4 linked regions of the Arabidopsis thaliana genome follow. The protein of the gene in region 4 interacts with the protein of the main gene of each other region in a pairwise test. Each region holds a gene or a part of one and is shown on either strand. Other genes may lie near its edges.

Region 1 (6,560 bases), 1.3 Mb from region 4:
GCACGACAAGTCGGGTCCTGATAATTGTACTCACGATGTGTATGACTCTCTTGTTGATGCTATAGAGCGTGTTTCGGAGTATGAAGGTTACATCTTTGAGGGCAGTCATGGGCTTTCACAGTCTGTTTTCAGGCGTATGTCAACGTTGTTATCACATCCTCCTCAAAGATGTGCTCAAGTTGATCTCCCCAAGCCTCCTGCAAAGAAGGTGACTGCGGTTAAGAAATGCTTATATGACTTTTCTCTTCTTTTGCTGATGCAGACATTCTTTGATTTTGTTTCAGCCAGCTGTTTCCTGTGATAAATCAGCCTCAGATTCAACGAAAGGAGCGAAGCAACCGTTAGAAAAAAAACCTAAGACAAACACAAAGAGAATACACAGCCTAGGCAAAGAGAAAGTATGTTTTTGTTCTTTTCACGTTTAATAACTGTTGCTCATATCAAAGACTCTGGGAAGAACCTTACCAATTGCGAATTGTAGTAATAACTATTCATGGTTTCAGCTTCTTATTCTCTTCATGTTGGAGATATTATTTTCTTGAACATCCATTGTTTTATCTTTTGTATATACTAGTTTCATTTGCTAAGAACAATGTAAAATAAAAAGAAAAATTTGTATACTCATGCTGAATCAATTCCTTGACAGACATCTGATTTCAAAAAGTATGATGAAAAGATAGTTGGGTCGAGGGTTAAAATCTGGTGGCCGTTGGATCGCGCGTAAGCATTTTGTAGTTTGTGCTTTAATATACTACTTCAATTTATTTATTCTTTCTGTGCTATGTATTTTCCTTTAATAGCTGAATCTGGACTAGCACCTCGGATGGTTGCTGGTTGCATTTCTGTCGACCATGCCTGTAAATGAGTATTGGATTTTTACCACAGGTATTATGAAGCTGTGGTCATTTCATATTGTTCTGCTAAAGAGAGACATCGGGTAAAGCTAAATATATCAGTCTTCTACATAACTATTTTCGTTGGTTTTTGGTGAATCATTAGTCTATTCTCCTAAGTGATACATATTTTTAATTTGATCCAGGTCATTGATAATATGCTATATTTGTTTATGCTGCTGCTGCTATGTCGTTTTCAGGTTCGCTATATTGATGGAGATGAAGAAATCTTGAATATGAGAAAGGAAAAGTGGTATTTTTCTGAATGAATCAAAGTCATCAAAGGTGGGGAATTATATCTCTCATCTCTGGTTTTTTGTTTTGTTTCATCCCCCGGATTTTGTTTCATGCTTCCACATTTTCTGTTAGCAGGATAAAGAAGCTAATCAAACGGGATGTGATGAAGAAGCCTCCACAATGTAAGCATTACTTCTCCAGTTCTGGTGTTTTTGTGGTGCTGGAATAGCTCGATGTGAATTTTTGTTTATGAGATCAACTCGATGTCTTGGGATGAGACTGGAATAGCTACTGTTTCTTCATGCAGGCCCCAGAAGAAGAAAGCTAAGACACGCAAGGAACAGTCAACTAATAAGCAATCAAAGATGCTTTCACCATTTCCACCTAATGTTAAAAAGGATGATGAGGTCATATATAGAGAGGTTCTTACCATTTTGTTTTCAGCAACCAATCTCTTTTGTTAAATTCTTTCCATTTATTTTCCTCAGGTTCCCCAAATATCAAGGAGGCAGGCAGAACAAGTTCTCAGTAACTGTGCTAGCCAGATTAAAAAGTATCTGACAGAAGCAGGGAAATTGTCGAGCGTCTCCTTAGCTAATCCCAGTGATGTAGTGGATTCAATATGTGGAAGGGCATTTGATGCTTTAAAGCAGGAAGATGTTGTTGCTAATGAAAAAGAAGTAAGCTCTCTCACATATACTAGTGCACTGTATCAAACTACCTTTATTGTTTGTAGATAATATACTTGCATCATGTGTCTCATACAGATGAAGGTGGTTTTTGAGTACCAATGGTTATGCAAGTCGTCTAGTTTCATTTGTTCTCTTACGGTTCTAAAAATTTGTGTATTCTGCAGGACCGTCAAGGCCCAAGAGAAGCGGCAGTAAAGGCATGCTTCTTTCTTCCTGAAACCAGCATTGAAACACTGAAATCTTTCATTTGTAAAAAGAAGATGAATGTCATCCTCGCTTATGTTGGAAGTAGATAGTTAATTGCAATCTTATTTTCCAATCAGCAGGAACAACAGAGAGCAGCAGAAGTTTCTACCCCTGAGCTAACTTGTGTACCTGAGAGGGGACTGAACCTGGAGCAGTCACTAAGTGTTTGTCCTCATGATTCATCTGTCAAATCAGCTATTTCTTCTATGAATGAGAATGGACACAAAATCCTTGAGATGGTTCAACAACCAGTGGCTGAAGAAGAGGATCTTGCAGAAACTAAGACTAAGACATACAAGCGAGCTCGAGTCGAAAGCTCCAGCGTTCATAAAGCTGATGGCGAGATGGAGAAGGAAGCTGCAGAAGGAGAACCCTCTTGCCGGTCCCACAAATCGAGTGCTGAGCCCGGAGACTTGCAGCCTAAGAACCTCCCTGAACCTTGCTCTGTCACACAACAGCTGGCTAAGGTCAAACAGAGCATTTTAGACACTGTAGCCAGTGTAAGACAGTTTCGCTGTGAGCTGGAAAGAAAGGAACAGAGCATTGCAGACACTTTAAGCATTGTACGACAGTTCCGATCTGAGATCGAGGAAAAGGAAGATATGCTAGAAGCTTCACTCCTGGAAATCGATGTGTTAGGTATGTGATATGAATGCTGATGAACACTTAAGAGTCTATTTTTCTTTTTGGTTATAGGTCTCTCTGATAATGTGATGTTTGGAACAAACAGGGGAGAAGATATCGGGAATCAACAAAATCCTCAACTGAAGATCATCAAGTGGATTGCAAACTCAACTGGTATCCTGAAACTAGTTGGACGATTGAGTAACGTAGTTGACAACCAGAGAGAAGTCATTTTTTTGTATAGCGTTATCACTCGCTCAAGTCTAAAGACAGTTGATTTTCTTAATGTCAAGTCAAAAACCAATAGTGGTTCTTATAGGCACCACTTTTTTGATGATTTAACAAAGTTCGAAGTTACCGCAATTGCTAATACTGATCGATTCAATCAAAAGAAAGCACCAAGAAACTGCATAGCCTCAATAACAGAAGTAAAAGAATCTCTCTTGTGTCCTAGTGGAACTACTCAATGAAACGATTTTTGCTCATTCCCATTCGTCAAAAAAGTCAAAAGAATCAAAACGCTGAAACTTTTTCTCTGTACAAAGAAAAAAAAAGAAAACATTAAACGACGACGTCGTGTTTTAGTTTCACCAAAACGCATCGTTTTATTTATATCGGACGAACCAGTAGAATTGTAGAAAGTAGAAGAGAGAATTCACTACATCGGCGGCGAATGGAGGAAGAGAGAGTGGCCGTGACCGGAGTAGGAACGACTCGATACGCGCTTAAACCGGGGCGTATAAAAAGCGAGGACATACTCATCTGTATCGATGTAGATGCAGAATCGATGGTGGAGATGAAGACCACTGGAACTAATGGTAGGCCTTTGATCAGGATGGAGTGCGTCAAGCAAGCCATTATTCTCTTCATTCACAATAAGCTGTCCATTAATCCTGATCATCGCTTTGCTTTCGCTACGCTCGCCAAATCAGCCGCTTGGGTATACTATTACTTTTCTCTCCGATTCTCTTTATGTGATTCAATTTGGGGGCTTTCTTTTGATTTTTGACTATGCTCCTCAATTTTGCATTTTTAGTTGAAAATTTTGAAATTCATGATAAGCTATACAGTATGCATCTTGGAGATTTGAATTTGCTTTGAACATATTCTGAACCTAATCCTCAATCTTAAACCTGGTTTTTCATGGATGCATGATTTGTTGAACATTCTTTACCTGATTGAAACTTGATGGTTTTTTCACCTGAGAATGGTGTTCTTGTTACTGTTTGTAGCTTCTAGATGTGTTGTGAGAATCACATTTGATGCTTTAACATAAGCTTCACTGGTGAATGTTGTGTGGGAAATAATGTCAAATTTGGTTCATGAAACTTTTGTTTAGATCCTCTCTACACTATTATCTGTGCTGATTGTTTCATTTGAAAATTGAACTTGAGGCCTTTTTATGTTTCAGCTTAAAAAGGAGTTCACAAGTGATGCTGAATCTGCTGTTGCTTCCCTTAGAGGATTGTCAGGTAATAAATCCTCTAGTCGAGCGGATCTCACACTTCTCTTCCGAGCAGCAGCTCAGGAAGCCAAAGTTTCCAGAGCACAGAACCGAATTTTCAGGGTGGTAAGGTTTATTTTGTGAAACTACAATCTCCTCTAGCCACAGCCTGAAAAATAAACGATGTTTTACTGATTTTGTTCATGTCGCCCTGCAGATTCTCATATACTGTAGGTCATCTATGAGACCAACCCATGAGTGGCCCTTAAACCAGAAGCTCTTCACGTTGGATGTTATGTACCTGCACGACAAGCCAAGTCCTGATAATTGTCCACAAGATGTGTATGACTCTCTTGTCGATGCAGTAGAACATGTTTCAGAGTATGAAGGTTACATATTTGAGAGCGGTCAAGGGCTTGCACGGTCTGTTTTCAAGCCAATGTCAATGCTGTTAACTCATCCTCAACAAAGATGTGCTCAAGATGATCTTGACATCCCCATGTCTCTTGCAAAGAAAGTGCCTGTGACTGAGGCGGCAAGTGCTGTAGATCCTCACAATGGGAACAATATTCAGATCATAAACTAATGAAACACTTTTTTTTTTTTCTTGTATCTTTTGGTCATGACATGGTTGTGAGTTTCGCATGTGAAAAAAATACTCAAAACCTGTAGTGACAACTTGTTCTAGATCCATCAAGTAAGAAACTCAAATGTCCAGATGAATATAAATGATTTTCTTATTTTAAGAGAAAATACCTCATCAAGTCCTCAAGGGCTCTCTAATAAAAGGTATTTGCAATATTGTTTCAGCTATTAATGATGAATTAAATGTCTAATATGAGCTAAATAAATTGAATTATGTAACTAGTCTTATCTTTTATCCCGATAACCATATCAGCAAACTTTTCATATGAATGAATACATAGATAATGCACAAATTAAAGTACGTCATTGTGTACATGGATATCTTAGTTTATGGAAATGTGTGGCTTTGAGAACGAGAAGCTAAGAAATATTACAAATTGCTTTGAATGTTGCAAAGTCAATACATCGATCAAGTTGATATTCAATGTTTTAATATATTGGGTAGATATTCATATTGGCGAGATCGTGATTGCATGATCTTCAATGTTTCTTTGGGAAGAAATTCATCAAAAATCCATTGGCTTATCCAAAAGAAAAATCTTCACGATTTCATGAAAATATATGCATGTAATTTAGTTTCGCTTTCCCTTAAGTTTATCCTTATAGCTAAAGCAACAGTCTAGTTCGTAAATTATGCCTCTCGGATAGGTAATAGCTAATGGACGATGTCACCACGACTTTAGGAAAACCTAAAATATATCTCAAAACAAAATAAAAATAACAAAATGTTGCCATGCATTTGGGTTTAGGAGATGACGATGCCAGCAACATGTACGGCATCCGTTCTCTATATATATATTAGATCCCATTCGTACGGCCTAACTTCTCTCTTTTCTCTTTTTCTTTTTATTATTATTACGGCCTAACTTTGATAGAAGAATATGAAAAACGAATTTAATAACGTTTGACTAAATTATTAAATTATGAATCCATAGATTGGAATCCTACAAGATGACACATCATGTGCCTTTCTAATTTAGTAGCGGGGTAGTCTATAAGAATAAAACTAATTTTAAAATTAATGTCGAATTGCTATGTGTATTGACATTTTACGTACATAAAATTTTTAGTCAACTAGTTTAATTTTTGGAGCCGATATTGATTAATCTTAGAATCTTACCAATGATTAGTAGTCTTAACTAAAAAATTCCAAAACTACATAATAAAGAGTAGGTAAATTAATTCACACCTAATCTAAGAAAACTAAAACTAAAATATGTCTTTTCAAAATAACGTATAGTACAATAAATGTATAATATAGTTCTGTACTTCTGAATAAAAGACCAACTAGATCATCAATATTTTAAAAGAAGTACAGAAAACTATTGATAAAAAGGATGTGATGTGAGAGTTGACCCTGTTGTATCGTTTGATATGTCCAAAAGGTCAGGAAAAGCTGGCTTAATTAGTAATTAGTAATTACAAAGTACTTACGTCACATTTGTTTATTATTACTCTTTTCTTTTCGTTTACAAAAATTTAGAAAAAATAATATTTATTTAATAATTGTAAAAGTATACTCCTCTTGCATTAATATGCAACATAACAATAACTGTTACATAGCATTTTGCAACATAAGAATAAGTGTTACATAAACATTTTTGGTAAAACTATATTAATGCAAGAGGAGTATTTTCTGTAAATTTTATGTAAGTGTTAGTTAACATAGAAAAAAAAAGGTTATTGGAGGAAATTAACTATGGTTTTGTGCTATGTATGTACCTTGGTGTCCCAACATAGTCTATTGTCAGATTAAAAACCGAATCAAACGTTATTAGA
Region 2 (9,087 bases), on a different chromosome or scaffold from region 4:
CCATCAGGAGATTATCAGCTTCTTGTTGAACCGCCTTGGAGATTGATCCTGAAGAATCCGGCCATAAGCGAAGATACAGATTTCTAACCATTCCATAATCCCCTTGGACAGCAAACGCACGCATCATAGACAGGTACAAGTGAGGCTTTGGTCGCAAGACTTCATTAGCTCCACTTCTCTTCAATATCTCACCAAATACACAAAGGGCCCCTGTGAACATATTCAATAAAGACCCTAAGAAGTTACTTCAAGAGCATCTATGTCCGGATGCTGAAAGCAGCAATAATCAGAAATAAATTCATAGTATCATACCGCTTGTTGAACCACACTTCAGCATGGCATCAACTACTGCTGTAAATGCAGTTCGGTCAATGAACACGTTCTCACACAATTTCATTTCCAAAAAAATTTCCTGCAGTGATAACAGATCCGTTGCATCCCCAAACCCCTAAGAAGTAGAATTATCATAAGAGGCAGAAATTGATAACGTTTAAAGCAGAAACTAAAAAGAGTACTAGGCCATCTTCCTACATAATGATCAGATATGTAATGAGATATTGCTGGCTCACCTTCACCAAAGTGGTGTAGGTTACAACATCTGGCTGAAGAAAATCGTCGTAATATTCCTCTGCTTTCTCCTGAATTATATTCAAAACCAAGACATTATAATTAATATGAGCCAAGCTCTACCCCAGTACTACTCTGAGTAACACTTGGAGTATAAAACTGGCCTTTAAAATATACATGTGTGACCTTCATATCATTGAAAAACTTCATAGCCGCATCCAAGTCGCCACACTTAATGCAGGCATGGATCAAAGTATTGTAGGTCAACCTATCTGGCTCCAATCTAAGGCGTAACATTTCATCCAGCAAATTTATTGCAGCTTGCGGAGATTCTGAGTTGACATAGCCCTGAAATATATAACAAGACATATACCATGATGATGCTTCTCTGACCCTAAATCAAATGCAACTATGTGTAAAGAATTACCTTCATCAGCAAGTTATAGATAAGAACTGACGGAGTACCATGATCTAGAAGCAAAATATCATATCGTGCAAGCAGACCATTGGCACGACGTAAATCTCCTGCACTAGATCAATATCAAGTGTTTTTGCATCAGCTTCAGGCCATTTCACTAACACCAAGATTACATAATCAAGATTAGCTGCAGCCTGTTGAGCACGAGAAACAGTTACAGCTTAAGAATCTTACCAGCATTGATAAGAGCGTCAAGCAGACCATAGATAAGAGATGATGACAATTTGGGAGTCCCAGCAGCAGTTCCATACTCTATAGTCTCCAGCATTTGGAACGCTTCATCAATCCTCCGAGCCTTACCCAATCCCTTAACCAATACAAACGATTCGACATCAAATTCAGGTTGACACACGAAATCAAAATTCAAAATTAGAGGAAAGAACCAAAATTCAAAATTAGAGGAAAGAACCAAAATCACCTTCAAGATAGTAGCGTAACTAATAGAGTCGACTCCAATTCCACCAGGTTCCGCCATCTCATGGAACATCCGAAGAGCCAAATCAATATTTCCACAGTGAACGCAAGCTTCGAGAACTGAGTTCATCACAATTGTGTTGAGCCTCCCATACCGTTTCTTAGCGGCTTCTACCTCCTCCACGATCTGACCAAGCTGACGACGGCGCGTGAGGAGAACAATGCGAGAAGTGAGAGGCTTGAGATTGATTCGCCTGGAATAAGGAGTAGCTCTGCGAGGATAACACCGTCGTGTCGGAACAAAGGAGCACGACGGAAGAAGAGGGAGAGGAGTGACAAGAGTAGAAATAGCTGAAATCCGATTCATCTTCAAGGAGACCAGAAGCTACCCATCCGCCATTGATGGGCTTCAAGCTTCACCTTGAGGCTTGAGCTAATCGAAATAGATAACGTTGGAGAGAATCTGAAATCACAGCAACAACAATCAGTCAAGTTATTCTTCACCTTGGCGGGTCGAACAAATGTTACACAGTGTGGAGATTTAACAAATTTGGGCCTTGAGCTTTGAACATTAAAGCCCAATATACTTATATTCAACGTTGACGTGAGTTTTGACTTTTCGTTCCCCTAATCCAAAATTGCTTCTAGATTAAGCTATATCTCTCCAGAACTAATTTTCGACACTGCAACTTTTTTGACGCGGAAACAAAATATGAAATATCCTAAATTCCATGGAGTCTCAATCTCATCCTTATAAATATCATCAAAACTACAACCCTTTTTAACGCGGAAACAAAAAACTAAGAACGGTTCCATTTGTTTTCATTGTCTAGAAGAGAAGAAGAAGAAGGATGTGTTTGGTGTTCGTGTGTGATCAGGACGAGAGGGTGATCGGAAGGTACGCAGCTCCTGGAGCGTGTCCGTACTGCGGAGGAGCGGTTCAAGTGGTTGACGTAAATAGCCAGTGGAGATTCTGCTTCGTTCCTCTCTCTAATAAATCCAAACGTCGTCATCTCTGTTCCACTTGCGGCAAACGACTCATCGTCCATGGCTGAAAACAAAACTCCCACCTCATACGAGATCATTTCTATATGTACATATATCCAAATCTCTGACTTGCTTTGTGTATCGTGTTTCTAAACGTTTGTAAGAAAAAGAAAAGAACATGTCTTCTCTTTTATGATTTCTCTGTATATGTATGAATCATGATTATGAAAATGAGAATTTTAAGAAATTGGGATTTTGGAGAACAAGAATGATCACTTGCAAAGCTTGAGCTTTTTGAAGAAAGAAGAGACTTGGGATTTAGGATAAGGCTTTGTAGCAATACACGTCGGAATATTCTCCGGCTGCTCCATCCATAGCTTATGAGAGATTCCTCCTAATTTCAGCTTCTCTGACAAATTCATCATCTGCGTTTCCCCTTTAACTTCCAGAGTCACCTAATCCCCAAAAAATAAAGTGTTTTAATTAATCCACCATTGATTCCGGCCAGAGAACTCTAAAATTAGGGTCATGTTGACTAACCTTATGCATAGAATCAATGTGCTGCGGATCACAGTACTGAAGCGTGACCGGATCGTCTTTGAACGACCAGATCGCTGCCACTGACGCATGACATCCTTGTGTTACAACGCTCCCAAGTGGCCACGAATCGATTAGATCTCGTCGAAGCACAACGTATTGCACCACGACGTCGTCGGGTTTCTCCGCCGACGAAGCATCGACGACGGCATCGATTTCGCCAGTCTGCTGGCTCATTGAAGGAGAAGCCGTTGTGAATCTTCGGAAATGAGCAAATCGGATCGTAGAATGATAAAACCTAATTCGCGGCGCCGGAGCAGAGAGTCGGCGGGTAACTATCGGGAATCGAAACGCTGCGGAGAGGACGGCGGTCGCCATATGAAAGGAAGACGCACATGGACTTTTGCTATTGGATAAGATTTTTCTTAATGGGCTTTTAGTAGACCCAGTTATTTTCTGATGTCTCCTCAATTAAAATCAAATCTAAATTCGCTCTGGTTTATCACTTAAACGGCATAACCAAACTATTTCATTCGCTCGAAATCCAAACCAAATAAATTGATTCTTATTTTCCTGATTACTCTTTTCTCCTTTCGCGGTTGAGATTTTATGATCTTTCCGAACGAAATCAAGCATTCCGACGTCCGTACACTATCCGGCGCTGCTTAAACCGTCTCTCGTCGCCTGTCTGATCTGTTATCTTCTCTACTCTCCGGTGTCGTTGAGTAATCATTCTTTTCTTCTTCTGATAGAGTTAATTTTCTTTGTTATATGTTTGAGGCTGCTGCACGAAATTTTAGCTGTAATCCTCTGAAAACAAGCTCTGCTGATAGGCATGATAGGGTTTCTAAATCAGGCTTGTTTCTGTTTTGTATCGTTCCAGTGTGTTAATACTGAGCAGAAATCGTGATTTCGCTGAGTATAACTCTTGTTGATTTGGTCGCTTTAGGGTTTTGCTTCTCACTCGTTTTTTCAGTGTTGCAATTTGTTTGAATTATAGAATTACTTGGAAATACTAGCTGATTTAGATGTGATGTATGAACATTGAAAATTTTGGTGTAGAGATTGATTATCAACTTCTCTGCTTTTTGGTAGGAGCTTGGTCAAAAGACCTCTTGATAAGCAAAATATGGGAGAAATGGTAAATTACACACCCTTTCCAGGTTTTTTATTTTCTTTTTCCAATTGTTACCTTGAAAAAGGCAGATTCCACAACATTTGCTTTCGTTGCAAATAGATTGTTTCAATGGACCAAGATATCCGACTGGATACAACACGAGCAAGATGTGAGTAAACAGCTTTTCTTGTGCTTCAGATCCTTTTCTTTCTTTTTTTGGTTTAAAGCTTTCTGGTAATAATTAGTCAATCTTTATGCTCCTTTCCTAGTGTCAAACCTTCTCAAGAGGCATCGAGAATTGTCAGACCGTCTTACTAGGTAGGAAATATGCTTTTGAACTATATAGTTCACTTCTCGATCTTTATGTTTGCTAAGTTTGTATTTGGTGATCATTCATTTTAGGGATTCTGATAAGACAATGTTAGATCGCTTAAACAAAGAATTTGAAGCTGCACGGAGATCCCAAAGTCAGGGTGGGTATGGATAGCTGAATTGCAGAATTGGACGAATTATCTAACTGACTTTTTTTTTGCTTCATAAGTATTTGCTCATCCGTGTATCTATTTTAATCAAATGCTGTATTTGCTCCTATCCTCTGCAGAAGTCTTCTTAGATGGGGAAGAGTGGAATGATGGTTTGTTGGCCACATTAAGGGAACGGGTATGGCATCCATCATTGTGTGCTTCCTTTTATTGTCAACATTGTTGTGTACTTAAAAGAGGTGTTCCAAGCCTTGGTATCTAGTTGAAGAAGACTTAGTAGACACTTTAATAAGGGCAGATCTAGATTTGATTATGTCGTTCTGATAAAAAGAGTTATATGTTCTTTGTGCTATGAAATCTTTTATGCCATCTTTTTCTTTTCTTCTGTTGGCTTTATTGAATTTTTCCTGAACTTGACCATGAACTGTGTAGGTGCATATGGAAGCTGACAGAAAGGCAGATAACGGTAATGCAGGTTTTTCACTAGTTTGTCATCCTGAAGAACGAATTACTTACAGAGTGGGAAATAAGGTACTCCTGAGGTCTTACATTCTTCCAAATTTCTTCTGTAGAGAAATTGATTTTGTTTGTACCCAAGGTCTGTTGGTGTAAGCCTTATCTAAGTCTATATAGCACAGAATTTACCATGATTCTTTCAAGATACCCGCAAGGAAGACTACTTCTGTCACAAAAGATATACTATATGGCTGTAGAAATTTCTGGATAGTCCAAAGGAAACCTATCGTTTTGTTCATTCATCTTGGCCGGATGCAATGTTTGCCTAAAAGATAGATCCAATCAGACCAATCTTGGTTGTATACTTGTATATCTTTGTTGAAGAATGTTGATTGTTGTAATGTTGTGTCTTCCCCCAAATTTTGTAGTTGCTACAAACTTTCCTGATTTTAAAGTTTTGACTGACACCTGGCTAATCTTAAGTTTAGAATGACCTCTCACTTTGAATCGATACCAGGTCGTTTTTGCTTATATATTTGGTGTTTTATCAAACAGGTGATATGTTGCCTAGATGGATCGAGAATTGGAATACAGTTTGAAACATCTACTGCAGGTATTTTGAACTATAACTGGCATTTTGTCACAATTTCCAAGTGTTTTTTCTTTACCAAAAATTATTAGCAGTTATCATAATGATTTTTTCTTCAAAGGTTTCTTACCTTTTGGCGTGTCAGTGAAAGAGAGTTAGCTGTTTTGTCTCCATATTTCTATGTATATGAAGACATTGGGACTTTTCCTAACCTTTTCATCTCCCTGTATATGATAATTAAATCCGTTTTATATAGGAGAAACTTACGAGGTTTACCACTGTGTGCTTGAGAGCAAGTCGTTTTTGGAGAAGATGATTGTGCTTGAGCACACAATTCCTTTCTTTTTGCCGCTAAGTGACTTGGAAAATGATCTTCTTTTTTCGAATGCTAAGGTACCTGATCTTCAGTTTATCCTCTTACTTCCTTGTCTCTTATATGTTTTTGGTTTTAACATTTTTCGATGCCAGAAATTCATCGATAATGTTGGGGATCTCCTGCAAGCATATGTGGACAGAAAGGAACAGGTTTGTCAAAAATCTAGATCATGAGTAGATGTTCAAACTTAGATTGTGCTTGTCATATTGGCCTTTTAAATTGTTGTTTTCGGTCATGACTTCTTAAGTTTTTAACCTGCTGGCTTCTTGTTCAATTTGTTTCTCAGTAAAAATACATCAATATGCTCTCTAGATAGCAATGAAAATGGTACTAAAATCATGTGACCAGTTAACTTGGAGTAAGAGAATCTCAGCACTAATGTATCATCAACCTTGTCAGATTAGGATATGAAATGATTTTTAGATGTATTTATTTTATAATGAAAAACGGGGCCAAATAATCTGGTGTGACTATACCGGGTGTGTTGTTATTCACCACTGTCGGTGAAATATGCACCAAAAGTCTAAAGTGTTAGGAACCTCTTAAATTTCACAAGTTAACCAGGATGCTTCTCCTGAATTTCATTATAGGTCCGGCTTATCAAAGAGCTCTTTGGACATCAGATCAGTGAGATTTATCACAGTCTTCCTTACCACATGATTGAATTTTCTATGGATGATTGTGACTGGTTAGCAATTTCATAGATCCATATACTTCCTCTTAACTGCTGCTACACTAGATATTGATGTGGCCATGTTGCCACTTAAAATTTTGTTTTTATAACCTTTTAAAAAACCAGATATGTTTTGGATTATAGCAAGTTCGTGGTGAGCCTTAGATATGGAGATCTTCTGTGTGAACTTCCGACAAAAGTGAGAATTCTAGTATGGCCAATGCATCATCTGTCGAAGAAACAGTGTACAAGCCCTGGAAGTCCAGCAATCCCTGTGCGTTTACCATTTGCCGAGGATGCTTTCCGGATCCAATCACTACCTGAAGGTATTCCTAGTTTAAATAACGATCTGTTTAAGTTATGTTTCTACGGTTTATTTATTCTTTTGTTCATTGCAGCATACGCAGAGATTATGCCGAACATGCCGAATGAAATTCGGCAATTATTTCAGACTAGTCCAAGCTAAAAGTTGAAGCTGTGTGCAAACTTTCTACTTGTCTCGTTGCTTCGTTGTATGATGTTTGATTTTGATCCTTGTTCCAAACTGTTAAAATAGTGCTATGAAGAATACCTTTTACAGAATGGATTTGTTCTGCTATTCTATTCCGGTTAAATTGTGCTGCTTCATCGATTAGCCCATTACTAACTGCTCGAAACAGAAACAGATAGATGTATGAAGTTTTGTTCTCTATGGCATACTGTGGTTCGATCATATCCTTCATGAATTTACGCACTTGAAAGTCAAAAGTGGCTGTAAATCAACTAAACTTATCTACAATGAGAAGAGATATACATTTGTTTTCTTGGTCCACCATTTAGCAATTTTTCATATTAAAGATCCTAGTTGAAGTAATTAAAAACGAAAAGTATGTTACTAAATATGAAATTACGGTGATGGTAAGGAATCCCGGAGTTGTGTTACCCACTTTGAATTATCTTTTCACAAATCCATCCATGCAAAAACTTTAAGAGTCACTACTTATTTTTGTTGCTGTTCCTTCCCCCATCACTTGTCATATCACAATTTAAGAGATTATGCTCCTTAAACATATCGGAACTTAACATAGAAAGTTCTTGATAAATGAAAAATTTGTTCATTGTTTCAATTATTTTTACTGTATGAAAGAATTCAAATGGGTTTGTACTTGGCAAATTACTTTTTGTATTTTTCAATGAGTTTTTTCTCAAAAAAAATTAGTAGTAATACTCAATATATCTACATCGAATAAGTGACACAAACAAAAATCAACTCAATTCTTCTCTAGATTATGGCCGGACTATCAGACTTAGGATCATAATAAGAGAATGTACACTTTTTCCTTTTTTATAAAACCAGAAAACAGTACATTGGAGATTTACTTTAGATCTATCTTCCTGAGTGATTTATTATTGGAACATATGATTAAGACACTGAAAAGTTCCTTGTCAGAAATATAAATGTAAAGAACTCTGACCAGGGCCCTACACGGGATAGATTATCGAATTTTATTTTAACCCTTTTTAATAATGGAACCCAAAAAAGTAGTATCAAATAATACTAAAATCGACTTTAAAGTAATACTAATCCAAGTGTTATTATGAAACTACTGAAATACCGAAAATTATGGTATAGCCACACACTAATAGAACCTCTTAAACATGTCATCTTATCATCCATCTAACCATCTTAATAAGTTATTTATTCTGTTGGAAAACTAAAATATAGTTTGTATGTTACTCTTAAGAGATTCACGGATGACATTTCCACTCGGAAATTATTATAAATTCTAACAATATAATATTATTGAATTAACAAAATGAATCTATATGGCACCGAGTCATTCATAACAACAATATATATGCCCCCAACTATTGACTACAATAAATCGACAACCAATTTGCAAGTTTTTTTTTTACTTAATCATATGCCACCACGACGTAATCCATGATGGGTTAGTCCAAGGAGGTAAAACTTTCGTGAGATGGTAAATTTCTCTAATAATCTTAAAGTAGTCATAATGTCAAACCCAACTTTGCACACACATGTATTATGTATATGAATATAATATAATAATGTACTAAGTAAATAATTAGGAAGAAAGCTGAAAAGTATGGTCCTGCTTTAATCGAGAATTAAACAAATCCGGTATTTAAGGATTGGTGTCCCCATCCAATTAATATCTCCACATTCTCGTCTTTTCGTCCAAAACTAAAAAAAAATAACAATATCCTTAATCTCCTTCACCACCGTCCATAATTTTTGGCGCGAGAGCAACAAAAAAAAAAAAACACGACAAACAGAAGAAACTTGTTTGAAAATGATTAGACCACGTGTTAGTCAACGGTAATTCCACGTGTAACATTGAGGCTGACGTGGAACATGTGACTAACCACATCACATGTTTCCTATTAGCCACTTACGGACGGGACAA
Region 3 (7,707 bases), on a different chromosome or scaffold from region 4:
TTCAGTCCCTGCAAATGGATTATTAGTATTGCCTGATAATGATCATGAGGAAGGAGGTGTTGGATCACCTCAACGATCGAACAGCGTTGAATCTCCTGGTGGATCAGTACATTCTACGAGGAAAGGTTTTGGTTTGAAGAAATGGAGACGGATCAAAAGAGATGGTCCTGTGAGAGATGAGGCTGCTCCTGTTGATGATGGTAGTAAGTTACTGAAACGTGGATTGGCTGGTTTGGTGAATCCTCCTTCTAAACATGTAGAATTTTCTTCAGTTGAAGCAAGGCAGAGTAGTGAAGGCTCTGTTGGGTCAGTGAATATGGTGCATCATCCAGGGGTAGCCAACGGGTTTAGTCCCGATATAGGTTGTATGTTTGCTGTTGGGCAAGCGTTTGAGAAAAGTGAAGAGCATAGTGGTAATACCATAGGTGGAAAGAATGTAGTAGGAGGGAAGGTTGTTTCAGGTAGCCAAGAGAAACTCTGGAGTGATACCATCAAGAGGGCTAGCGAAGAGCGGGGGGATATCGAGAAGGAGAAGCCTTGTTCCAGCTTGGATTCCGACTTGAGAAGTAGTGATTTTGTGTTTTCGACTGGCTCGGTTTCTGTTGGTAACCATGGAGAGAAAGATGAGAGATTGACGATGAATTATATTGGGGGATTTAGCAATGAAGGTCAAGTTAAGGAGGAAGTTCAAACATATAGCAGAAGCGAAAACGGGAATAAAGAAGACGATGGAGAGAGTAAGAAAAACAACAATCATTGGGCAGATAAAGACGCACTTGCAGATTCTATCAGAAGCTTTGCAGTTCTGCAGGAAGTTCTTTGGAAAGGTTTGCACACGAACCTTGATTTTTGATATCCATGTGAATTGTTTCAATGTTCATGTCCTAAAGCTCCCATGTTTATATTATCAATGTTACATGATATTTCTAAACTAACTATGCGATTGAAACGTGTGCAGAGGTTCAAAGTTTCCAGGAGCTAGGTAAGGAATCTGTACTACTACATTCGAACACCGATGAATTGAGTTCAGACCAGCCAAGTCATCAAAATTGTAAAGAAGATAACTCAACATCCTCAGGATCAAAGGCACTGATCTTGAAGGAGAAGGTAAAACTTCTGGAACACAAACTCGAGGAAGCGAGAGCTGCTCTCGAGGCAAAGGAAGCTAGGATCCAAGAACTCGAAAACTCAAAGATTGAATCTGAACTTGAATGCATCTTCCAGAGAAAGATTGAAACTGAAATCGAACATTTGATGCTCACAAGATCTCTGAGTTCACTACAAGTACTCCAAGAAACTAAGAAGTTACATTCTCTGAAAGAAGATCCTGTATCAAACCGTGGAAACATCTTAGGAAAAACATGTAAGCTCGGTTTCTATATCTTGACACAATTGATCTTGCTCGTCTCTATACTTCGGTTTCTCGTCCTACAATTCTCTCCTGCTTCACGATTAGTAATACCAACTTGAAAAATTCCTTCTCCTTGTTGTGTTACCGAACATTTTTTTTGTTTCTCCAGATTGTAATAAATAAGGTCTCTCAAGGATATTGTCCCCATTGTTATAGTTAAATTACGATGTTTAAATTTCCCATCAACAACTAAAGAGACATTATTATTTTGTGAACTAGATTTTTGATATCGAATCCGATCACCGGTTATAATGGTTTGCCGACGGTTTTTGTGATTTGACTCAAGAGTGTAATAAAACCTTAACTTAAATCTTGGTTTTTGATTCAATCTAGATTCGGTTAATCAACCGGTCCGGTCTGGTTTTTAAAACAATAGGCCATTGTTGTAGGGAGTAGTTTAATCGGGGCAGAGGCTTATGCTATGGGCTTGGACTCTCAGGTTTCGTCTTAAACCTAATCAAAGTAATTTAAGCCGAAAACGGAAGGAACTAAAATTGGTGTCTTGACTAAAAATAATATAAAGGACATAAAATTAAAGTCCCCAGATAAAAGTTTGTATGATTTAGGGCAAAATCTCAGAAGATAAAATCATTCAAATTTGTGTGAATTTCGTTTAATCCTTATCCAATTTGTCCCAATTTATAATCTTATAAGAAAAATAAAAATCTGAAATACGGTGGTCTCAATTGCTCTTACCTTTACCAAGACGGCCATAAGAAAAAAAAGATGTCGACCGATATTTCACCACCCTACTCTCAAACTCACGTGGAGCCCGTTAATGGTTATCCTTCTGACAACAAGAGATGCGACGATTCCTCTGTTCCTGCCAAATATGATGATCTTGTCCGTAACTCTGCTCTCTTCTGGGAAAAGCTCCGAGCTTTCCTCGGATTAACCAGCAAGACTTTGAAGTCAGTTTCTTTCTTACCCTTTTCACATTTTTGTGAGACCTTTTCGTTTGGTTTAAGATTGTGGAAGAAAAAACCCAACTTTGTTTGTTTGTATCTCTCCCGAAGATTGGTTAGGGATTTAAGGCTTGAGGTGTTGTTATATTGTTTGGTGAGATTGAAAGCAATAGAATTAGATTTTGTTGCTCAGTGAAATGTTGAAAATTGTCAATTAGGGTTTAGTGGATTCCGGATTGGTGAAGTTTAAGCAGGAAGTGCGTTATGTCATGTGTATCGTCTGTTGAATTAGATTTATCGTATTCTTTACCTGTTTATATTGTTCATAAGGAAATGAAATCAAACTGGATTTAGTATTTACTAATCTGGATACTGTAATTATATCTATGAACGAGTTTAGGCTTAATGTGTGTTGTTTTGTCTCTTGTGTTTATTAATTGATCACTGTCTGGTAATGAAACATTTTCCGTCTCTGTAAAAGGGTTCCTACTGTGGGAGGAAACACTCTTGATCTGCATCGGCTTTTCATCGAGGTTACGTCTCGAGGTGGTATCGAAAGGGTATGAATGAGTTCATGTTACCGTTAATCATACTTTTGGGAGATTAATATTGTTCCATTGAGTATTGAAGTGTGTATGTTTTTTTTACTCTAGGTGGTGAAGGATCGGAAATGGAAAGAAGTGATTGGTGCATTCAGTTTTCCGACAACGATAACAAGTGCATCGTTTGTCTTGAGGAAGTATTATCTCAAGTTTCTTTTTCAGCTGGAACATGTGTATTACCTTGAAAAACCGGTGTCTTCACTCCAATCAACAGGTCTATTTCAGCACTAAAATTCTTATCGTTGTCTTACCTTTTCTTTCGTTGCTCTGTTACATACTGAGATAAGCCAAAATTCTCATGCTTTTCCAGATGAAGCATTGAAGAGCCTTGCCAATGAATCTCCAAACCCTGAGGAAGGTATAAGACACGTTTCTCTAACTCTTGTGGCTTTTTTATTCTTCCCTCCATATCTTTGTCCATTCATCAGTATGTAGTATGTTGTATTTAGTATTCCGTTGGATAGAAGTTTATTATTACAGATTCTCTTTAAAGAAGTAATGTCTGGTAGGCCTTTAATTCCCCAATCTGGTTCATTAGTTTTCTCACGTGACAAAGATTCCTGAGTTTAACGTGTTACAAATATTGGCTCTGTTTCACTCCTTTTAGACTGGAACAAATAAATATACACTTATCTTTCCTTTGATTCCATTCCTTATATGTTTTGAGTTTACCGCGTGTGTGTCTAGTAAAATTTTGACCGTGTGTCTTTGTGCTTCATTGTGGAACCTGCAGGTATTGATGAACCACAAGTTGGGTATGAGGTTCAAGGATTCATTGATGGGAAGTTTGATAGCGGCTATCTGGTGACGATGAAATTGGGTTCTCAAGAGCTGAAAGGTGTCCTTTACCACATTCCTCAAACGCCAAGTCAGTCTCAACAAACCATGGAAACACCTTCAGCCATTGTACAATCATCACAACGCCGGCATAGGAAGAAATCAAAGTTGGCTGTAGTCGATACTCAAAAACCCAAATGCCACAGGAGTGGCTACAACTTCTTTTTTGCTGAGCAGTACGCGAGGCTTAAACCTGAGTACCATGGACAAGAACGATCCATCACTAAGAAAATAGGACACATGTGGAGCAATCTCACTGAATCTGAGAAACAGGTAACCAATCATCATCGAATTATATCCACTTTTTTTTTTTTTTCATTAAACCAGTGTTTGCTTACAAATTTGTTCATCATTACAGGTTTATCAAGACAAAGGAGTTAAGGATGTGGAGAGATACAGAATTGAGATGTTGGAATATAAGTCTTCACATGAATCAGGAGCTACTGCTTCTACAGTGGCTCAGTAGCTTTTCTCCCTTTTGTTGTCTTACGTGTCTGTTGTAACATTTTTCCTTTTCTCTATAGAACTTGTTTTCTTTTTCTTTCTAAATGTAATGTTTTCTATCAGTTGGAGGATTTGTCAGCTTTATTATGGCTTTAGAGCTAGTGAGGAGGTTACTAACTGTGAACTAGTGTCTCTCTTGTTGTTTCTTTTAGTAAGTGCCATTTTTGTAGTGAATTACAGGCATATCCATATATCCAGATCTTTCTTCAAAAACATGGCGCATATGTTTCTTTTCGTTATGTTACTTGATGATATGTGATGTATCTTTATTAAGTCCCCGTCTGTAGTATCTTTATTAAGCTCAAAGTTCGGCGGTGGAGGCGTGGAGCAAGGTTTTGCGGTCATGCAATGGTTCTCTCAGATGGACGGAAGCTAAGCTGTCACGAGATGAGATCTTGACAAACCAATAAGTAGTCTGATAGGACCTAAGGCCGGTATTGACGTCGATTTCCTGCTCTGTTTCATACCACAATAAATATTTCATGTTATAAATATGAACATTGAGTTATGTTAATAATGGACGTAATTTCCAAAAGTAGTATACGACACATCACCATTGTTGTTTAGTGATTAGAGAAATCATCTGTTATTAGGGTTTGTAATCGAATTATAACGAACAAAGGACTATTATTAATTTATTTTAATTTAGTTAAGTATCTCCAAATTCTAAACTCAGAACAGGATCTAAACACTCGAGTTCCTACAACAACCACAAGTACAAGGAACAAAAAGAAAAGATCACAAGCCACCAAACACAACAACAATGATCCTCCCGACTTTGAATCCAGAACCCGCTGCGGAGCCACCCTCAAGTCCTAATCCAGTCTGTGCCACCACTGAACCAGCCCTTTCTGTACACATCTTGAACCTTTTGAGACCAGACATAACCAGACATAAGGAAAATAACACACCAGCCGGAGAAGGAAACAAAAGACACTAACTAACTAGCATTTGCACAACACATCATTTACATCTTTGAGATATCCATATATCTATGCTTTGCTTCTGTCATGTTCACTGGTTGCTGAATGAGCTCTCTTTTCTTCATTGGACAGGGTTGTGTATACTTCTCTTCTAGCTTAAAGATACGAGTCAAGGTAGGAATAGTTCCTGCGCCGACCAAACTCAAGGAGGCTACCATAAGTGCGGTCCCATACCCCAATAAATAGCGCCTCTGTGTCAGGGCTGAAAGATATTCCAGAGATTTCCCCAAAGAAGTCGATTTCCTGCTCTGTTTCATACCCGTTTGAGACATCATAGACATGGACAAAGTCAGCCGGTTCAGCCATGGCCATGTATTTTCCATCTGATGTGTAGCGGATTGACCGGATTGCTCCCAGGTTACCCTTCAAGACAGTAACAGACTGAGATAGGTTACGGATGTCCCATACACGACAAGTCTTATCTTGGTTTCCTGTAGAGAAAGTGACTCCATCCGGATGCCACGCAGAGGCAAAGGAAAAGTCCAAGTGTCCTGATAGTGTTTCCAACGTCTGCAGAAATTCCAAAGATGTGGAACTATAAAGCACACACGTGGTGACAAACCATTTGAGTATCTCACACACTTATGTCCAGGACCGCAAATATGTACCTTTCCTGTGTTGGGGTCTACAATAAGGCCCTCCGGGTTGTCTCCAACAATAGCCAGTAATTTACCATCAGGACTCAAAGATGCGTGCTGTACCAACAAATTGAAAACAGAGAATACCATTTTTGTTAAATGATTCAAAACACATGTACCTTTATCACTTGGATTAGGTACACTGAAGAAGAAATGGGGTTATAAAAGCCTAACTGTAACTCATGCTATTTTCCGCAAGTGTAAGAGATCAAAAGCAAACCAAGAAACAAATAAGGACTTTACATTCACTGGCCAAGGAAAACGGAAATGCTTAACAAGCTGGTATCTCTCCATGTCAAAGTCTCTAACTCCACAGTCATTATTTGACGCAGTAAAATGAAGTGCACCACTGTAAACAGAAGCCAAAACTAAGTTACAAGCAGTGACTCTAACAACTTAATGTGGACCTTTCGGGCAAAGGACTAGCACAAACCTGGGTTTGTTGTAGATCTCAATAGCATTGGTTATAGCATTATCATCATAAGTCATACGAGAGCAAAAGCTGACACCCGGTCTATCAAGATGCTGAACCAAAGTGGAAACAGATGAATCTCATAGAACAGAATTGCAAGTCGATAATGTGATTAATCCGTGATAGATAAATCTAGAGTTACCTTGCAAATAAGTTCTCCTTGAAACCCGCCAGCAACCAGAAAGTCATCTTTTACTGCAAGTGTACTTACTTGAGTCTGCGTAAATCCTTCAAGTAAACTTCCAGGATGTTTCTAAATGCAGCAAAAGCAGTTCAGCACCACATAGAGTTACAGTAATGTAGAACTTCTACATTCTGACAAAAACCAACCTCAGATGGCGCAACATGACCACGGACATTGAGAACTTCATGCTTTCCAGACGTTAGAGAAGAATAATGTGTAACCAGAAAATTTGACATAAGATACACGTCGTGCTTAGAAGTTGCCCATACCAAATTTCTCAGCTATGACACCAATAAAAATTCTTGATCAGATGGAGGTTTTTAGCAGTAGACAAATGTTATGTCCACAATCACGCCAAACACAATAAATAAATCCAATCAGAAAGAGAAAGACTATCAACTAGTCCAAGTTAGTGAGCTCTCAATATTAAAAAAAAAAAACCTGGAAATGTAGTATAGTAGACTTAATAGATCGTGAATTCCGCCAGAAGTCATAAAATAGTCCTCCTTTCTGTGTGACCTTGCAAACCTGAATCCATACAAAATGATGTATTAGGTGACTGAGCTAACCTGAACACTAATACAAATAGAGGATCAGAGGATATAACCCTTACCTTTTCTGATGATTCTCCAGAATTAGGGACATTTTCATAATTCTTATACTGTTCTAATCTAGTTTGTCTGTATTTCTCTCTAGAAATATTAAGTCTGTCCCACGGAATCCCCTGGATATCTTTCCCTTTCCGAGCTTGCTCAGCCGTGGTATCAGCTACTTTATTGTTCTGAAACCATATAACACGAAATTAAAACATAGTTTAAAAAAAAAAAAAGCTGTAAAATGAGATTAGAAAGTAGCATAGCCAACAAAACATGTTCCATCTCATCATACTAACCGAATAGTCAAATTCTTCAACGTCAGAATCTGAAGCACCAAGATCATCACCACGAAACTCCTCATCCATATCATCTTCAACATCTTCCATCTCATCATCTACGTCTTCCATGTACTCAGCATCATCTCCTCGATAATTAGACATTCTTTTGGTAGATAAATAAAGACACCTGCATATACAAACACACAAACCATATTATTAAAGCTTTTAAATCAAGAAATTCTACATCCCTACTCAAAAATGGGGGCATAAACTGCACATAAATAGTAATCAGTGAAC
Region 4 (8,603 bases):
ATAAAGTTATTATATTTTATTTTATTTGTTGTCGACAGTTATACTTCTCTTATCTCTATTCGTTATGTTATATGAATTCACAGGTAAAAGATTAGAGCTAATAAATAACTTAGAATCATAGGAGAATATTTCATTTTATTACATGTTATATACTTATCATGTTTTTAAGAAAATGAAAAAGTTAGGTTAAAGTGGCTATACGATATTACGATAAGTAGTAGTAGTACAATGTTCAACTATTGCAGTCAAAAAAGCATTTTTCACCTTTTACATCTTTTATGGATAGTTTTCACTATTTTTATAACTTAAAAGATGAAACTTTGGTTTCATATAAAATTCTTTTGATCATCTAGCGTCGTATCCAAAACTAAAGATCATATACGTATCTTTAGTTTTGTTTATATTGGGAATATTAACTTTATTATCTATTTATTAGTGTCACCTTTGCTGTGTAATGTGTATCTCCGTATATCTATGTCTCATACTTAGTGATAAATGATTTTTTGCAGAAGGATAAGCTTACAGTGAAAACAATAATCCAATTTCTATGAGGTTAACAAATATGTATATATATTTTAAAACCTCTAAGAGGTTAACATATTTTTAAACGTAAATATTAGTTGCTAGTCGAATTTCTTTTTAACAAAGATTGGCACAAAAATTAATGCCCAAAATATGATTTTATTTAGTTGTTACCAAACTGCCTATAGTTTGATAAAAAAATTATATATAAAAAGGAAAATTAAAAAGGGAAACGAAAAACGGAACAAATCATTGGAGAGGATCGGTCAAAGAGGAATAATTAAGCTCTTTCTTTTTAACAAATTTTATTGTCATTCACTTTTATATTTGTCTTTTGTTGGGTACTGTTGAACGAATGTTTCTTTACTTCCATCACAAGACAAATAAATAACTCAATACGTCGCAAGTGATTCTTTATATTCCTAACTGTCGACTAGAAAGAAAATAAATATCATAGTTCTTTGACAAAAAAAAAAGAAAATATCATAGTTACTTTACTCCAAAATTATAGCCTATGACTAGACTTGATTGGCCATAGAAAATACTTACATATTATGTTATGATGGAATTTCTTCAGTAGCTATTCAATTCTTGTTAGGATACGACGCTATATTATGATGGAGTTTCTTCATTATTTACATGTTATATTATGATAGATAGAACAAGAAACAAAAATAAAAAGCTTCTATGTAATTAATTATGGAAACTTTCTTTGGTAATTTTTGTTTGGACGTTGTAAATTACTTTGCTGTTTTTTATTTTATTTTTTTTTGTATATGTTGCGTTTTCGTTTATTGTTGATTTATATATTCATCTAAACGTGCTTCCAGTTTTAAATAAATTTATTTTGTATTTGTAAACTTAAAAGGCCACATGGAAAATTTTCAAAACTTTACATAAATGACTGAAATTACAATTTACACCATTTTTCTTCACACACTTAAGAAGAGTCAAGACTAAATTTTGGAACATTCAAACGGGCTAAACCATTAAGCATCTTTGTCTGGGCCGAACTCAAAATATATCTCTGTTCAATCCGTGCCTTCAGCCCAACATGTGTTTTTTCAGCCCAATAAGTTTCTTGCATGTTTTGAAATAAATAATGAATTTTAGTCGAATTACTTTCTCTCATATCGGCATATTTTGTTCATTTTGTTTGATGAATGGGTTTAAGTCGTCGAAGTTGGTTAACCGATATCGTAACGTAAGATTGAACCGGAGTTTCAATACTCGTTACATTTTTTCGTATTCTAGCTAACGTGAACGGATGTTGTTTATACAGCTTTCTACTACAAAAGTAGATTTCAAAATTGAACTGCGATTTTCTTCTTACTCTTCTAGAAACACTTCCTCATATTTAATAAGAAACGAAAGAATTAGACTCCGACAATATTGGGAATGTTTAGTTGTCATTTGGACCCAATATAATCAATTCCATACATTTGCAATTGCAAGGTGGGTGAGTCATCAAAATTTATGAATCTTCCAAAGATTATAGATAGAACAGCTTTTAATTAGCCTAATAAACAAAAGGAAATACGATTATGCATACAAAATAAATTAAATATTAAGACTTTTAATGAATTCTTAACCAAAACCATATCAAGTCATATCATACACTATCCTCCATACACGTGGTAGCATACATAAGTACGTTAAATAATTTTATTTAGCAAATAATTTTATTATAATCATCTTTGATCACCAAGATCATGTTGGGCCATCCAAGCCACGACTTTAGTAATGTGAAAACAATATCATAAGGAACGAAACACTGTTCATTTCATACAATTAAAATACAACTTTTTCCTACACATTTTCTCAAGAGTTTAGTAAGTGAGAGACGAATGATTTGAGAAAACAGTTTTTACTTTTTTCGATTTGTTTCTCAAACTCAGTATTTTCGGATTTCTAATCCAGATTAAAAGTTCTGAATAAAATCACGGGGTATGGAGCAAAGCCGATATAAGTAAAAACCTTTCCATATTGATAGACACTAGATTTTTTTTTAGTTCATAAGATAGATACTAGATTTAGTTTGAGTATAATGGATTAATGTGGAACTAGTTGTATTGTTTAGTATGTGTATGTTGTATGATTTAGTGACCGTCTTCAGTTTTCTTGATGTCTTTCCACGTTTTACAAATTCTTGAAAGAACTGAGAACTCAAATGTATGATACATAACCATTGAAAAAAATATTTCCACCATCATAAATAGAGTTTTACGAATCGTTTCACAACTTTTAATTCAGTTGACACCATTAAATAATCAATATTTCTTTAGTTACAATTCAGTAGAATAAAATTGCATATGCTATATTATCTAATTCTATGAATATTTTCTGTCTATGATATTTGATTTTTATATACTTTAGATTTTGGATCACCCCCACATTATTTCGCTTTTCAGTCACATTTTGTGTTTAATATTGCTAGATAAGTCCGTGGTTATAGCTTACTTTGTTAAAATCATATATCTCAACTTATTTCATAACAGTATCTAAAGAAGATGGAATTTTATAAATATATAGACACTCAAAAATCAGAAGAAAATATATATCCACAAATAATAGAAGAAAACATAGATTTACTGCATTCAAATCAAGGGACATGAAAGAATATCCTGGACCCAAGTGGGTTATATTTTCAATAAAATTTAGCAAAAAAAGTTGACAATCAACTAATCATCACCATTATTGGCCATAATCATTACGTACGCATACACATAGCCACGATGTCTACCTATGTTTAAATCTTTGAATTCTGAAACTACGTATCTTTTATTTTTGTTTAAAAAAAACCTAGTACGTATCTTCTTTCCTTACTTAGACATCATCTTCTAACTTTAAGGATCGAAATTAGAAGAAAAACAAATGATTAATATCTACAAGAACAGAATTTTGCATTTATACTCAGATACTCTTCTAGTACCTCACAAAAATAAAATGAAATTGGAATTGAACACGCCCTAAATTCAAGTACTATACGGTCTATACCCATTTGAGTATATGAATAATGCATATTGTGAGTGAAAGAGATAGATACGATACACTCTTTTCTTTGTTTTTCAATTGGACAAAAGGAAACAGATTTTGATCTCTGAATTGAACGGTCAAGATCGTATATAATTATTTCAGGAGATTAAGATCCCACGTGCTTAAAAACTCTCTGTCAGACTCTTTATGTATAAAATCCTCGGCCCACTCTTGTTTTGATAGTACACTCAATAGAAAGACACAAAGAAAGAAAGAAAGGACAAACAGAAATAACAAAACCTTCCATTTCAAGAAAGCATCATCTTTGTGTGTCCGAAAAATGGAAGATCTCGACCATGAGTACAAGAATTACTGGGAAACCACAATGTTCTTCCAGAATCAAGAACTCGAATTTGACAGGTGCTTACTAGAATCTTGGTCCATTTTTTTTTTTTTTGTTTCTTTAGTTTTTTTTTCCGATAAAGATTAATCTTGCTTTAGTTGGTAATTAATGAAAATTGTTATAAATTATAAAATTTAAGTTGGCCGATGGAGGAAGCGTTTTCGGGTTCCGGCGAGTCGAGTTCGCCAGACGGAGCGGCAACGTCGCCGGCTTCTTCGAAGAACGTTGTCTCCGAGAGAAACAGACGGCAAAAGCTTAATCAGAGACTTTTTGCTCTCCGGTCAGTTGTTCCCAATATAAGCAAGGTATGATTAATTATTCCATTACTTCTCTTATTTGTTTAATCAACTGTCTCTTTTAAATTTAATTTGTTATCCAAATAATTTAGTAATAAAGTTTCGTCACCAGCAATTTTTGTTTTGGTCAACAGAAATTAAATAAGCGAATAAACTTTCTCTTCTTTCTTTTGTAAAGAAATAAAACTATACAAATACAATCTGGTTAAACCAAATCCAACCAACATTAAACAAATAAGCAAACCAAATTTTTGATACTCTAAATCCATATCAAGCCATACTAAAATGTATTTTGGTCCCCTAATTACCCTGATAGCATATAATTGTATACGTGTGATGATTTGTTGATTAAGACTGGATTTTATTGAAGTATTAATATTTATCTATTTTTAGTTGGACAAGGCATCTGTCATCAAAGATTCTATCGACTATATGCAAGAACTTATTGATCAAGAGAAGACTCTAGAAGCAGAGATCAGAGAGCTAGAATCACGGTCAACATTGCTAGAAAATCCGGTAAGAGATTACGATTGCAATTTTGCGGAAACTCATCTGCAAGATTTCTCAGACAATAATGACATGAGATCAAAAAAGTTTAAGCAGATGGATTACAGTACTAGAGTACAACACTACCCCATTGAAGTTCTCGAAGTACGTACTATGCATTATTTGGCAGTACATTCTAAATTACCTTTCTTTTGAGGTAAAGTTAATTATTCCAAATTGTTTTTATATAAACATGAAAAAACAGATGAAAGTGACATGGATGGGAGAGAAGACGGTAGTGGTATGCATAACATGTAGCAAGAAAAGAGAGACAATGGTGCAGCTTTGTAAAGTGTTGGAGTCTTTGAATCTCAACATTCTCACTACTAACTTCTCTTCCTTCACCTCTCGTCTCTCCACCACCCTCTTCCTCCAGGTCACTCTCTCCCTCTCTCCCTCTCTCATATCTTTATTTGGCAATGTGATTACTAGTACAAACTACAAAATTCTAAATGCATCTAGAGAATACTGTACGTGTCTTGTTTTGGTTTGACGCTCATTTTGCACTCATGGAGCGAAATTATAAAATGTTAATGGAAAGAGATGATAATATAGTTTAGAAGATTCTTGCTAATAAAGAATGTTAGATCAATTGTAATCAGCTATAAAATTAGTTTTATGCACTTGTCGGACTATAAAACACACCAACCAAATATATTTGTCCATTTTTAATTTGTCGCAACTATTCAGACTTTTATATACCAAATTCAAATCTTACTATTTTCTTTTCTTTTTGGTTATTTTGGGAGAAAAATGGTCGTCTGACGGCACGTAGACAAATCCTTTAGTGGACAAGAATTAATAATATGAATAAAAAGCATATGACTAAGTGCTTTAGTAAAGTGGATTGTTCTTTTGTTTTGGTAAAGAAAATATGTTATCTTTACGTAATAGTACAAAAATGTAATTCAAACTTACGAATTGTTTGGAAAATCACTATCAAATTCAAAAGGATAACCTTTAGACGGACCCATTTAATTACTACTTTTCTCCCACCTGTCTCCATTAAGTGGACCTTAATTCACATTACACCTTAAGTATATATAGTCAGTAATATCTTAATCAATCAATTAAAGCTCCAATTATTGAGGTTGCCTCGAGCCCATCACATTTTTTTCGAATTTCGCCTTGACTTTTTCTGATAGGGTTAGATTCTCTCAAAAGTTAAATGTCATATTCCATAAAAAATTAGGATTAACTTAATCAAAAAATTAGTGTGTGAAATCTCAAGTGCCTCGTGTCCCAGAAAGTGCCGTCCAAGCATAGTAGCACTAGAAAAACGTGGCTAATTTATAACCTCACGCGGTTCAACGTTTGTCTCTTTCACACTTTTAGCACGTGACTTTTCTAGCACTACACCTTATATCAATTCTTAACTCAAATTAACAATAGGCTACAAATCAACTGTAGCCAATTAGCAAGTTATTTGTGTTAACTAGTTGTATATGGTTCATAAGGTCTTCATTATGCTAATCATTTTGGTAAAAATTAGTTACTCCAAATGATATCCATAGCAGTTCATGGTAGAAATTAAGGTTTGGTCCTTTTTAATATAAGCAGATTTGTTAAGAGTTATTATTTTGTGTTTTTACTCTAAAAAATACAAATTCATTTCATTATCTCTATCTATTTGATTTGTTTATCATCATCATATACTAGGACTTTGGTGTAAACAATCTAATTACAAAAATGCTAGTTTCGTGAACTAACGTTCTATTTTTTTTGAAAAAGGTAATTATATTATAAGCTGTAGGTTGGAAATTTTTGATGACAACAAATACGAGTATTTCTTGCCTCACAAATGAATATAATATTATGTTGGTTTTCTTTGACAAAAAAGAATTATGCACCTTTATAACATTTTCTTGATAAAAGATAATATAATCAGACGCTAAAATTACAGTGAGGTATAGACCAGTGGAGTCATTGAGAGTTGGTGAAATCATACTCCAATCATTTATCAAATAAAAAGTCGATCATTTCATTTCAAACCTGTCCTTATCCGTCCTTTTAAAGATTATACAAAAACATTAAACAATGATTTATCCACCAATCTCATTTTCCACGGGAAATAATTATAGTAGTAATGCGTGCAGGTGTATATACACAAATTTATCAGTTCTAATTTTCTTTTTACGTGCTGCCAAAAAAAAAGAAGTTTTTTTTGTCTGATTCGTGTAAAACCTAAACACCCCTAATTTTAATAATCTATACTGACGTTGGACTTCCTAGAATCCTAATTTACTTCAAAATTCTGTAAAGATATCGTATGATTGAAATAATATAGGACTGTTTTAGTTTATATTGTGATAGATGTATTAATTATAGTAAATCGTTGAATTTGCAGGCGGATGAAGAAGAAAGCAGTGCAGTAGAGGCCAAGATACAGATGGCCATCGCAGCTTATAATGATCCAAATTGTCTTATCAACTTCTAATTTACTTCTGGTTTTTTACTTAAATCCGTTTTATGCAATATATGTGAAGAGCTACTATTGTGAGGGTTTATTTGTTTGAGCTACAAAACATCCGATGTTTTCTAATAAAATAAAACAAAAATATGCATGTTCCTTCTTATAATCTTAAAAATTATACTTCTAAAAAAATCATTTGAATTAATTGCAATCATAACCGAGTATAAGAAGAAAAAAACATAAAGAAATATGGTTAAACTAAAAAAGCAAATATGACTTTATAAAAGATTTTGTGGATACTTTGTCTTTGAATTGATGAACATGAATCAAATGCATATTGTAAGTTGCAAAATAGAGAGACTTGCCATTTGTTTCAATTTGATCTGTAAAGTTAGGCAACAAATGTTTAGTAAACTCATAAAAGTGACAGTAGGCTTTGTTAAGGAGTTATGTTCAGATAATTGCAGATTTGTAAACAATTTATTCTTACCGCTATATACACTCGGTCTAAAAGCTTTCTCTATAACCATCATCTTTCTATGATTATTACTTGGTTGAAACTAAAAATATAGTTGCCAATCTTACTCTATCTGTAAGAACCTAAATCTTTCAGCTTTATTATTTTTTAAACTAAAATTAAAAGCCAAAGTTATTTGGAAAAAGGGAATTAAAAAAAAAAAGAGAATAAAAAACGAAATGTACATAATTCAAAAAAGAGAGCTAAAAAGTTCCATTAAAAAAAAAATCCCAGTTTTATTTTTTTCTGGGGGATTTTATCTGAAGTTTAAATGACACATACAAACTGAATAATACACAAAACTACATTAGGTACTCTCTTAGACTACGTTCCAAAAGAATCTAACAATACCAAAACTTCTGCAAAGGACTTTTTTCTTTTCTTGATATATATATATATATTGTTACCTTTTCTCCTTGATCTCTGCTATTGGAACATACACTACTGAGTCTTCTTCAAGTAAAGGAGAAGAAGAATTGCCTAACTTTTTTCGGCCTTTTGGTGTTTTAAATCTATCAAGCCTCTGCGTCACGTCCAGTAACTTGTTTTCTGTTCTACAAAGCATCTCCATTACTGCTTCCAATTCTTCCTCTTCCGTCATCTTTCTCCCCGTCTCCTTCTCTTCTAAGCTCATTTCGTTGCTTAGCTCTTCATGTGACTGAACACAATAAGAACAAATAAACTTTAAAAATCTACAATTGTCTAAAACCACTTGTCAAACCAAATTCATGGAAGCGATACTTGATCATGGTTTCTTTAATATAGATATGTTCAATAAACTCATTTTGGCGAACCAGCTAATTTCATTTTACCTCTTCCGTCATCTTGCTCCCTGTCTCCTTCTCCTCTACCGCTGTACTTAAGCTCATTTCGCTGTTTAGCTCATCATGTGGCTGAACATAATAAGAAAAATAACTTTTAAAATCTGAA

What was found.
Region 1: the proteins of AT4G29930 (region 4) and AT4G32960 interact in a two-hybrid assay, tested with the Arabidopsis thaliana proteins (one large-scale study listed by BioGRID).
Region 2: the proteins of AT4G29930 (region 4) and AT5G10710 interact in a two-hybrid assay, tested with the Arabidopsis thaliana proteins (one large-scale study listed by BioGRID).
Region 3: the proteins of AT4G29930 (region 4) and AT3G13350 interact in a two-hybrid assay, tested with the Arabidopsis thaliana proteins (one large-scale study listed by BioGRID).

Annotation. Positions count from the first base shown.
Region 1 is NC_003075.7:15,906,947-15,913,506, reverse strand, and holds AT4G32960 (BRISC/BRCA1-A complex protein), read left to right. Parts: upstream 1-3,214; 5' UTR 3,215-3,365; coding exon 3,366-3,632; intron 3,633-4,103; coding exon 4,104-4,262; intron 4,263-4,353; coding exon 4,354-4,722; 3' UTR 4,723-4,935; downstream 4,936-6,560. Other genes in the region: AT4G32970 (BRISC/BRCA1-A complex protein), read left to right, coding at 1-208, 285-398, 647-720, 886-937, 1,266-1,312, 1,438-1,537, 1,619-1,810, 1,987-2,019 and 2 more.
Region 2 is NC_003076.8:3,375,507-3,384,593, forward strand, and holds AT5G10710 (centromere protein O), read left to right. Parts: upstream 1-3,449; 5' UTR 3,450-3,708; intron 3,709-4,078; 5' UTR 4,079-4,112; coding exon 4,113-4,124; intron 4,125-4,220; coding exon 4,221-4,269; intron 4,270-4,369; coding exon 4,370-4,418; intron 4,419-4,502; coding exon 4,503-4,573; intron 4,574-4,701; coding exon 4,702-4,760; intron 4,761-4,819; coding exon of another isoform or gene 4,820-4,836; intron 4,837-5,014; coding exon 5,015-5,113; intron 5,114-5,593; coding exon 5,594-5,651; intron 5,652-5,883; coding exon 5,884-6,020; intron 6,021-6,095; coding exon 6,096-6,152; intron 6,153-6,593; coding exon 6,594-6,691; coding exon of another isoform or gene 6,692-6,707; exon of another isoform or gene 6,708-6,820; coding exon 6,821-7,002; intron 7,003-7,074; coding exon 7,075-7,142; 3' UTR 7,143-7,360; downstream 7,361-9,087. Other genes in the region: AT5G10690 (pentatricopeptide (PPR) repeat-containing protein / CBS domain-containing protein), read right to left, coding at 1-210, 313-448, 570-638, 754-915, 995-1,092, 1,220-1,352, 1,464-1,826; AT5G10695 (methionyl-tRNA synthetase), read left to right, coding at 2,311-2,514; AT5G10700 (Peptidyl-tRNA hydrolase II (PTH2) family protein), read right to left, coding at 2,547-2,595, 2,723-2,901, 2,987-3,361.
Region 3 is NC_003074.8:4,332,235-4,339,941, reverse strand, and holds AT3G13350 (HMG (high mobility group) box protein with ARID/BRIGHT DNA-binding domain-containing protein), read left to right. Parts: upstream 1-1,925; 5' UTR 1,926-2,137; coding exon 2,138-2,322; intron 2,323-2,797; coding exon 2,798-2,876; intron 2,877-2,969; coding exon 2,970-3,132; intron 3,133-3,228; coding exon 3,229-3,276; intron 3,277-3,651; coding exon 3,652-4,028; intron 4,029-4,113; coding exon 4,114-4,221; 3' UTR 4,222-4,467; downstream 4,468-7,707. Other genes in the region: WIP3 (WPP domain interacting protein 3), read left to right, coding at 1-827, 959-1,470; AT3G13340 (Transducin/WD40 repeat-like superfamily protein), read right to left, coding at 5,339-5,752, 5,851-5,937, 6,124-6,229, 6,314-6,405, 6,495-6,605, 6,683-6,817, 6,978-7,064, 7,150-7,317 and 1 more. UniProt on the Arabidopsis thaliana protein: Binds preferentially DNA with A/T-rich content.
Region 4 is NC_003075.7:14,640,270-14,648,872, forward strand, and holds AT4G29930 (basic helix-loop-helix (bHLH) DNA-binding superfamily protein), read left to right. Parts: upstream 1-3,724; 5' UTR 3,725-3,838; coding exon 3,839-3,918; intron 3,919-4,040; coding exon 4,041-4,206; intron 4,207-4,590; coding exon 4,591-4,848; coding exon of another isoform or gene 4,849-4,899; exon of another isoform or gene 4,900-4,948; coding exon 4,949-5,236; 3' UTR 5,237-7,090; downstream 7,091-8,603. Other genes in the region: PRHA (pathogenesis related homeodomain protein A), read right to left, coding at 8,077-8,331, 8,486-8,566.